3 linked regions of the Caenorhabditis elegans genome follow. The protein of the gene in region 1 purifies or fractionates together with the protein of each later gene. This does not show direct contact. Each region holds a gene or a part of one and is shown on either strand. Other genes may lie near its edges. The genes, in order: pud-1.2, lap-1 and exc-15.

What was found.
Region 2: the proteins of pud-1.2 (region 1) and lap-1 fractionate together in Caenorhabditis elegans (co-fractionation; one large-scale study listed by BioGRID). This does not show direct contact.
Region 3: the proteins of pud-1.2 (region 1) and exc-15 fractionate together in Caenorhabditis elegans (co-fractionation; one large-scale study listed by BioGRID). This does not show direct contact.

What each region holds. Positions count from the first base shown.
Region 1 is NC_003283.11:2,321,431-2,324,584, reverse strand, and holds pud-1.2 (Up-regulated in Daf-2 domain-containing protein), read left to right. Parts: upstream 1-2,018; 5' UTR 2,019-2,045; coding exon 2,046-2,301; intron 2,302-2,347; coding exon 2,348-2,547; downstream 2,548-3,154. Other genes in the region: pud-2.2 (Up-regulated in Daf-2 domain-containing protein), read right to left, coding at 1,061-1,272, 1,319-1,571.
Region 2 is NC_003281.10:8,399,913-8,403,671, reverse strand, and holds the start of lap-1 (Leucine aminopeptidase 1), read left to right. Parts: upstream 1-1,743; 5' UTR 1,744-1,762; coding exon 1,763-1,904; intron 1,905-2,555; coding exon 2,556-2,875; intron 2,876-3,222; coding exon 3,223-3,571; intron 3,572-3,616; coding exon 3,617-3,746; intron 3,747-3,759. Other genes in the region: cutc-1 (Copper homeostasis protein cutC homolog), read left to right, coding at 65-381, 714-1,149. UniProt on the Caenorhabditis elegans protein: Probably acts as a digestive enzyme.
Region 3 is NC_003283.11:4,481,785-4,485,543, forward strand, and holds the start of exc-15 (NADP-dependent oxidoreductase domain-containing protein), read left to right. Parts: upstream 1-1,674; 5' UTR 1,675-1,720; coding exon 1,721-1,856; intron 1,857-2,331; coding exon 2,332-2,669; intron 2,670-3,431; coding exon 3,432-3,759.

The sequences.
Region 1 (3,154 bases):
TTTCTTGTGGACTTTAACCTAAAGTTGCCAACTTCATATTTTATTGGTGATAGAGTTATAAACACTGATAACGAATTCTTTGTATTTTCAAATCGCAACACATTGAACCAAACCACAAAGTACTGATAAGAAGAATGAGAAGGAGAAAGATCATAAAATTGTTTGTCAGCAATATGCCGGTTCCGCCTCTTTTGGTTTGCTGATATGGAATACATGGCAGAATTAGTTGGTATTCAGTCAGAACGGAGTGTGATGTCTATTCAAAGGTTATATTGAATCAGAAACCTTTTTTAGTTTTAAAATAAACTTATAAACCGAGACAAACCCTGAAAGATTTCAACTCGAGTATGAGAAATGGGCGGGGGGAAGGGATTAGAAGAAACGAAGTGAAAATAAAGTGACTCGAGTTCAATTAGACCGGGGTATGTGAAGATCAAAAAAGTGAGTAACAGGATTTAACAGAGAAGTTTTATTTACCAAAGAAGTCACCTACAGTAACACCAAAATTGTTGGGTATCAACGTGTATTGACCCACGACGTGGCTAAAAAGATCGTACAACGTGAACTCTATGAACTAGCTTATTTATTCCTTAGTTTAATGTAATAATAAACTACTCGTCTTCGCCTCCTCGTTCTGCCTCAATACATAACAATCTGCCTCAATACATTAAGTTGTCTCTGAGCACAAATAGGCCGATATATTTCCAAACGCAATACGTTTTTTAAAAATCATATTTGTATTACTTACTTGCGTACATAATGTAAAACGTCTCACACGGTTAATGTCTCTACTACGTATTAGGTGTAGGCACCGGTAGGCACTCTGGTAAGGAATAGAATTCCTGATTCGATATGATGTTCTTCAAAAATGTATTTTATTTTATAGGGCCCGCTCAGAAAACTTCAGAAAGTGTAAATCACTTCTAGTGGACTGTTTTTGAGCTCAGGGTTTAGAATTCAAGTTTGATTGGTACGCATGAAAAATTATATTAGATAAATTACAATAAATTTATTGAAACTTTTAAAGAAAATCTATTGATAAGAATTATTGACTGAAAATTTAAACATCATGTCTATAGAAGTCAGTAGTCGATGTTCCACTCTTGGATACAAATTGAACTTCTTTCTCGAGAACCTTGATTACTGTAGTTTGGGCATGGTCTTCTACTCTCAAAGTGTGTTTTTTCCAATCAGCCCCATCTGGATGTCCACTACGCCAAGCTTCACCGAGAATACGAACCTTTCCATCAACCACTCCATTCTTATCGTCTACTGTAAATTAATTCCTTCAAAACTATCAAAATATAAGTTAACTTACAGTTTGTCTCAATCTGTTTGATTCCATGAACCTTCCAATTATCAGTACCAGTTGTAAATGGTCCAGTGTTGTAGTGAACTTTCTCCAGAATTTGGGCACTTTGGTTTGGCTCCAATTTCACCCATTTTGAAGCTTCCAATGCATTGCCGGTATACTGATGAAGCACTTGGAACTTGAACACATGGTCACTTTTGTTCTCAATATCCACTTTGGCCCATTGTTCTGTCACACCTGATGGTTCGTCGCTTGCCATTTCTTGAAACGTTGAAGAGAATCGACTCACTTGAGTTTCGATTGATTTCGTGTATTTCCAACTGACTTTAAAAAGCAGTTCAAGTGGGTGGAGTTAAGCACATTACTTGTCAATAGATAATGTTTCAATACTGATATAAAACCTTTGGTCTATGCTTATCTGTCATTACTTTGTGTTCTTTGTCATTTTCAAGCAACGTGTCTGCGGTTTTGACGTCAAGAAACCAAAGGTGTACCAAAAGAAAGCACAACTTTATGATCAATTTTCATGATCATAGTTCATGCTACATGAAACTAACAGGCAAACTGTTCAATTTCATGTTCTTTATCAATTTCACAAACAATCAAACCACAAAAATAGTCAAAGAGAGAAGATCACTTGCATTCCTTATCAATAACTCCACCTCCTCGTTTAGTTTAAAATGGTTACCGTATCAACTGATAATTCAGATCGTTTCTTGACTGAAAACTGATCATGTCGACTGATCCAACTCCACCACAACTCACGAGACGCACTGCAAAGGTTTCAATTGATAATCAGACTGGAAGTCACTTCAAGTTTCAAGTGACACATAAATACACTGGATGGGATGCGGATAAGTCTGATGTTGTGATGTTCCAGCCTGATGAAGTCAAGGAAATCTTCAAAAGTGTCGCCTATAACACTGGATTCTTGACAACTGGAGTTGACAATTGGCTAGTGGATGGTACGATGGTTCAGGAGAGAACTGGTTTGTGGAGTTTTATCTTTTGAGAATAAAGAACTTGAAATTTCAGAAGTGGATAACAAAGGTCACCAAATCGGAAAGAAATCCTACATAGAGCATGCGAAATTCATCAGTGACTCGAGATCATGGAAGCAGCATATGCTAACAGCTGAAGATGACGGAAAAACTACCACGATCCGTGTTTTCCCAACCGAAATTCACTTCATCTCTCCAAGTGGGGAATCGACTACCACTTTCACTAAATATTGATTTCATGTTTTATTTGTAGTTACTTTGAGTTTCTGTTTGAGCAGCGATATTCTTCGTAGGAGTACTTTTCTTAAGCTTTTTTTTTTGAAATAAAATTCATTCTCAAAACTATTTCCAAGCAAAGCTAATTTTTGATTGAAGCTAGATAATTGTCATCAACAGTAATTGTAGAATTTTAGCTTTTTCTGTATTAGGAAATCTACCGTTTCAACCTTTTATACACTTTTCTATCTTTCCACTATGTCCAATTTCTTTTTACAAATATAACAAATATACGACAGCGCAAATGGGAACTAGGACTTGCACTCGTGACTCCCAGGTTGCGAACGGCCACCACAACCGACTGAGCTATCCCGACCCAGGTGCATATTTTCGAATGGCTAAATATTTTCAAATTACTGAACGAATGTTGTCAGTGAAAATTGTCTATTAATTTGGCTGAAAAATATTTTTATAAAAATACAAAATCAGGTCAGGTATTCAGATCAGTCTCAAACTTGATTCAATCGAGCCAATGAATAAAATAGTTGACTGAAAATCATTCCTGAGAACTTTGTAAAAAAATTACATTATCAAGTTCAAGTAGTTTAAAGTTTGAAACATTTCC
Region 2 (3,759 bases), on another chromosome or scaffold:
CATAACTTTATACCTATTCTTTACAATGTTAAAAACATATTTTCTCAAACTCTATTGTGTTAAGATGACAGAAACAGAATCCCAGAAGCAAATAAAACTGGAAATATGCATCGATAATCTGGAATCTGCGGAAAATGCTGTTGCCGGTGGAGCTGATCGATTGGAAGTTTGCTCAGCTTTACAACTCGGAGGGCTCACTCCATCCGTCGGATTTGTGTCTATTCTGAGCTACAAGTATCCCGATATTCCACTTTATTGTATGATTCGCCAACGGGCAGGCGATTTTGTGTATAATGAAGACGAAATGGCAGCGAATATGGAAGACGTTGAATGGCTCAAAAAAGCTGGTGCCACAGGATTCGTTTTTGGAGCATTAACATCGTAAGTCGGAGAGTTTTAAATTGAATGAAACAAATAAATATATTATAATTTTATTTCCAACATGTTTAAATGAAAAAAGAAAAACATATTCTTGTTTCATTTCGAATTTTTCACCATTTTCCGCAAATAAATTCTCAATCAAGTTTATCAATAAAAATTTTACATAACATTTAAATAATTATTTTTAGGCTGACTTAATTTTTGAACAATGCGGAAAGCTTGTTTTTAAAAAACATTTAAAATGCATAGACATGCGGCAAAATTACGAAAGAAGTTTTGTAATTATAACGGTTGATTGCTCTGGATGATCCACAAAAAATTTCAATTTTCAGAGCCGGTTCATTGGATCGTACATCATGTCAATCAATAATTGAAACTGCCCGTCCACATCCTGTCACATTTCATCGAGCAATTGACGTCGCCTATGACTGGAAAACTTGTCTTGAGGACGCTATTGATGTTGGATTCAAAGCTGTTTTGACAAGTGGACAAGAGCCGTCAGCACTCGACGGAGTTTATATCATTCGAGAAATGCAAGAACTTCACAAAGGAAAGATCGATGTTCTCGCAGGTTGTGGTGTGAACAGTTCGAATGTCGCGAATCTTGTCGAATGGACTAAATGTCACTGGTATCATGCTTCAGCTTCTGTTGCCAAGAAAAATGCTCCATTGAATAAGGTGTCAATGGGAAAACAGGACAATCAGCCATCACGTGTCACTTCTTTGGAAGAAGTACGGATGTTGAAAGCGACATTGGCCCCCGTTTAATTATGTTCAATTCTTTTTCATGTCATATTCCAGTCTATATTGCATGCTTCATCATAGTTTCTAACATTTTCATTGTGTTTTGCAATTAGTTGGCTAGAATTTTTCTGTACCGAAAGTTATTTATTAATTTTAGAAGCTCACTAATCAATTAGATATTCGAAGTAGCATGTTTTTTTACTCTACGGGATTGTGAGGGTTATCAATTTATTTATGCCTAGGCAACTTTAATATAGGAGTTGATTTGAACTTAATTAAAATTTTAAATTTCGCTCCTCATTATTTCACAACCTCTCAAATTTTAGACCACGAATGTATGCAAACACGCGCCCTGAAGATTTGTTCCTTCTCTCAATTTCTCATTTTTTTGCTCTACATTTTCTCTCGCCATTTTTTATCATCCTTTTCTCGCATTTATGTTTCTCTGGTCACTCTTTCTCTACCTGCTGGAGGAACTGATAAACGGTTTATTTGAGTAATAATTTTTACACCTTTTTTCTAAAAAGAGTTTGCCTTTTTTAGTCTGAATACTATAGTTTATACTTTCCAACTTTGTTTTTTTTTAATTCAAAAGGTTTTCAAAGTTTCTAATTTCAGTGATTAGTGTCACCTAAAAATGACACAAGTCCTCGTTCGTAACGGGATTCAAGCTGTTGGAGATGGCCTGACTAGCCTAATCATTGTTGGAAAGAAGAGTGTCTTGAAAAATGTGACTTTCGAAGGAAAATTCAAAGAAGTCGCACAAAAGTTTGTTACAGGTTCGGTTTTGGTAGATTACACAAACGCGATGTTTTTTGATTTTTGTCCAAAATTACGGTACATGGTCACTTTCGTTTAAAAAAATTCATATATATCTAGAGATATCTATATACATACTAAATATTAAACATATATTAAATAAAAACACATACATTTTAACAAAGCGCGGAAGAGACTATGGAAACATACCCGTGCGGCATTTGGTTTCGGCATTTGAACAAAATGCACTTTTTCATAAATATGAAAATACGTATATGTATGAAATAGCATACGATGAGAAGCCTGACTCTTAGGCTTGTCACCAGTCAAAAAAATTTCAAAAAAAGTTTACCCCTGCTCGAGATATGCACCCAAATGCCGTATGGCGAATGCCGTATGCCGTATGCCGTATGACGTATTTTCATATTTATGAAAAAGTGCATTTTGTTCAAATGCCGAAACCAAATGCCGCACAGGTATGTATGGAAAATCATGAACCATTCAGAATAAATGAGATTTTGAAATTACAGTACTCTAAAAGACCCACACCTCCCTGTAGTTTACAAAAATGTCTCTTGTCGAGACCTGGTACCGTATGGTTGGTGTAAAGAGAACAACATTTTGCATCTGCAGATGGTTCATACTTTTCCATAATATAAAAATAATTTCAGATGGCGACTCATGGAACTCTATGATTTCTCGAATCCCCGCCTCAGGACGTCATCCTCTTCACTACGAGCTGGCTCATTTGATCACTGTCCCAGATGCCTCTTCACGTGGAAATACCCCCACTAATGCTCATTCGATATATAAGGAGTTAAAACCAATCAACTATCCTGAGGATACAAAGAATGTTCATTTTGTGCTGTTTGCTGAATATCCAGATGTTCTTTCTCACGTTGCGGCTATTGCTCGGACCTTCTGCAAGTTCTCGATGAAAACTTCAGGAATTCGTGAACTGAATGTGAATATCGATGTGGTTTGCGACAAGGTATGTGACAACTATCCTTCATTTTGATATATTGATCTGTATAGTTTTATCATCACTGATAGACAGCAGACACCATGTGCTTGCTTCTATTTGCAAAGTCAGCCTGGAGACTATTCTTTTCTGGAATTGTGTGCTGATAATGTAGAAATACGATAAGAGTTTATTGCGTAGTGTGACGAAATTAAAAAAGAGGAACTAGTAGAATCATTTGATAGCTTCTGCAAAATTCGGCGGTCTTCATGAACTTCCGTTGATAAGAAAGTTATGTGTCCTTCAAGATCTCAATCTCAAAATCCGAATTAATTGTTTTGTTTTAATTGAAAAACAAACATTCAATTTCTTTGCAGCTCACCAACGAGGATGCAGTTTTCCTTACTGATCTCTCAGAATCGGTCCGTGAAACCGCAAGACTCATCGATACTCCAGCCAATATCCTGACTACTGATGCTCTTGTTGATGAAGCAGTCAAAGTTGGAAATGCGACTGGATCAAAAATAACAGTGATCCGTGGGGAAGAACTGTTGAAGGCTGGATTTGGCGGAATCTATCACGTCGGAAAAGCTGGTCCAACACCACCTGCGTTTGTTGTCTTGTCCCATGAGGTTCCTGGATCGACGGAGCACATTGCACTTGTCGGAAAAGGAGTTGTATACGACACTGGAGGCTTGCAAATTAAGACCAAGACTGGAATGCCAAGTATGAAAAACTTCAATTATTATTTATGAAAATGGATTTTTTCAGATATGAAAAGAGATATGGGAGGTGCCGCTGGAATGCTTGAAGCTTACTCTGCTCTTGTCAAACACGGTTTTTCACAAACTCTCCATGCTTGTCTCTGTATTGTTGAGAATAATGTCAGCCCAATTGCAAAGTATATTTAACTT
Region 3 (3,759 bases), 2.2 Mb from region 1:
AATTGACGTAATACTAAAAGTAGAAATACGGTGTATTATATAATCGTTTTTAAAAAAAAGTTTTAGAATTTTCTAAAAATCCAAATTTTTCATAATTGCATAGAACATTAAAAACATTACAAAAAACATCAAAAAAGATGCAGCACGAGGAACCTGACATCTCAAATACACACTGAATTATGCCCTTCTCGAGTGATCTGCTTTCGGAAGATAGCTATCGAACCCGGTAGATCAGCCTCTCGTAGATCAAATATGCGTGATAGATTGAAAATTAATCCCGAAATGTTCTTTAATATTGTAGATTCGTAATCTGTGAAATCGAAGAACCACGCTATCAAGTTTTGTTTCAAAAACTGGAAAATGCTGAACCCAAGTTTAGGAATTTTAAGAAATCGTGTACTTACCTCAAATTTTTATTTTTAATTTTCAGTAGAGGCTAGTTAGACACTTTTAGTTGCTTGGCCGTTAATCAATGGAAATTTAATAATTTATACTGTACATATGTTATTTTTCTCTATTTTTTCCATTTTATTTTCGGCAACCGGTTTTTGGAATTTTTTTTGTCAGATTTTTACAGTTTATGTTCTGGATGGGATTGTTTTTTTTAATCTCAAAATTTTTGCACGTTTCAGGTTTCAATATCATTTTACATATTCAATGAGAAATCAACTTTTCTGCAGAAGCCAGCGTCCACTTCAAAATAATTTTTGAACGGTATAGCAAATTGATAATAGTTAAGATTTCAACAACCAGGCTGTCACATAAAAATTGCACTCTATAAAAAATCGGTTTTTCAAAGAATTGGCAAACGTACAGAACTGTTCATTTCAGTACGAAAGTATAACTTTTTCAAATCAAATATTTAAAAAAAATGTAGAAAATTGTTTGTTCAATCTGAAATTTTTATTCATTTTTATTTGAAAGTTTAAAAAATACCTCAAACGGTCGTTGAAAATTTCAGTTTGCTGTGAAAAATTCAAAGTAATTTTTGCACAAAACAACAATTTTAAGGCCCTATTTAAAGTTTCTTTTAGATTTTTCAACAATAAACTTTTTATTTTCAGAAGGCCTTTCCGGCATTTCTATTTTTTTTTTTTTGACTGTAAATATAACTTTTTAAAACAATTTTTGAAAATTTTTACTATGATATTTCCTAATTTTGGCACGATATTACGCTACTTCACCTTTTAAAAATTTTTAATTTGTGTCTTTTGTTGTTTTTTCATTACTTCAAACGATCAAATAATGATTTTCGAACTCACCCACTTTTCGGTCATCTGACAACACTTTTCCCCTCTTATCTAGGCGTCCTTCATTTCAACGTCGTCCACTTCCTACTACTGTTTCATCACATGAACATCTATCTGCATGTATTTCAAATTTCTGTCAATAGTCTCAGTTCTCACATTGCCACAAACAAAAACAATTGTCATGTTTTTGGAATTTGCATGAAAAAAAAGTGAAAATTGGCCTCCGCATCATTGAACATTTTCCGTTACGGTCTTTTCATCTTTTTTCTATTTTTCCGGCATTCATTTTTTGTGACTGAGCGAAAACCGTTTGTTCATCTCTCGTCTCTATTTCTTGCCGATGGTCACAAAATACCTCTTATCATTTATTTTGTTTATCATTTTGTCATCTATTGGTTTAAACGTAGCTTCTCCTTTTACATTTATCAGTTTTCTGCTTTTCGGTCATATTCATTTTGAGTATTTGCAGAATGACCGTAGACTCTATTCCATTGAATACCGGAGCTCAGCTTCCACTTTTCGGATTGGGAACGTGGCAGGTGAAGGATGAAGCTGAGCTGACTGTGGCTCTTCGTGCAGCTCTTGATGCTGGATACAGACTTATTGGTGAGTGCTGTCCTAGATGGAAACCATAATTTTTTTTTAGTCATGTTTTCTTTTCTTCTTCCATTTGAGATGTCACAAAAAAATAATTGGAAAATAAAAACCGATTTAAAAAATGTTATTTTTGGCCAAAAACGGAAAACTCAAAAAAAAAGTGGTGGCTTGCTCAAACCAGTTAATTAAATTTTTTGCACAATTGAAAAAAAACATTAAAAATTTTGAAATTTTTTTCCAACATTTTTTACATTCGGTAACTACGACCCATTTTCAAAAAACCGACAAACTTTACTCACACCTTTAACTTCAGATTTTCCCATTCAAATTCTAGGTATTTTTCTACTTTTTGACACAAATGTTGAGATTTTTTACGGTGTCCAGTTTTTCGAGTTTTCGAATAAAACCATTGGCAAAGTTGATCCTTGGAGGGCAGTTTTGACAACGTTTTGACAACTGAAAATCCCATTTTTTCAATATTCAGACACTGCTCACCTCTACCAAAACGAGCACATTATTGGAAAAGTGCTCCATGAGTACATCTCATCTGGAAAACTGAAACGCGAGGACATCTTCGTCACCTCTAAACTTCCATTTACCGCTCACGCCCCGGAAGATGTTCCAAAATGTGTGGAAAGCCAATTGAAGGCGCTTCAACTTGAGTATATTGACCTGTATTTGATCCATTGCCCATTCCCATTCAAACATCAGGAGGGAAGCTTTGCTCCATTGATGGAGAATGGAGAGCTTGCTGTTACAGAAATCGCTCATATTGATACATGGAGAGCGTTGGAGAAGTTGTACAAGGAGGGAAAGCTTAAGGTTTGTGAGATTTGGTCTTGAAGGAACATCAGCAATTTCGATTTCCATAAAGTAATTGAATCAGGGGTGGGCGGCAATGCCATTCGGCAAATTTTTTTGTCGACAAGTTCGGCAAAACGGCAAATTGCCGGTTTGACGGTTTGCCGGAAGTTTTCATTTTCGGCAATTCGCTGATTCGCCGTTCGCCATTATATAAATTTGCCGGAAGTGTTTAGAGGGAATTTTTTATAAGACGGAAGCACTTAACACTGTGTCTTTTTGAAATTTTTTCCCGTTTTCATTAAACATTTTCAAAGGATTTGCTTATTTTTCAAAACAGATGTAGAAACATTCATAGGATGCGTACAATTTTGCCGATTAAAATTGAAATTCTGAAATTTCCAAAAAAAAAAGTGCAAAACCACAATTTTTCGAAAATTATTGGCCTTTTTTCCGGCAAATTCGGTAAGCAATTTGTCAGTTTGCCGATTTGGCGGAAATTTTTAAACAGGCAGTTTGCCCGAAAAATCGTTTGCCGTCCATGTGATGAAAAGTTTGTATTAAAAATGTTCTTATTAAATTTTTTCTTGAAAATTTCCAGTGGTTTATTCAAAAAATGTAGTCAAAATTAGACCCACCGGGTGTCAGCTGCTGTAACGTTTTTTGGAATACATATACTTATAAAATTTCAGCAGAATGTAGAAAAATTAGTTGCCAATATTTTGTTAACTATCCATGTTCAAGTTACACGTAGTGTTCTTTCTCCAAAAATATAATTTTCAGGCCCTTGGAGTATCCAACTTCAGTTGCAACCAGCTTCAAGCGCTCTATGACGCCGCCGAAGTGAAGCCAGCCAACCAACAAGTCGAGTGTCACATCTATTGGCCACAACAAGAGCTCCGTGCTCTGTGCAAAAAACTCGGAGTCACTGTTACAGCATACGCACCACTTGGCTCACCAGGCAGAAAAGCTGCTCGTCCGGACGGTGTCTGGCCGGAAGGTGACCCACTTCTCGAGCCAATCGTCAAACAACTGGCTGCCAAGTATCACAAAACTGCTGCACAGATTCTCATTCGCCACCTGACTCAACACGGTATTTCGACGATTCCGA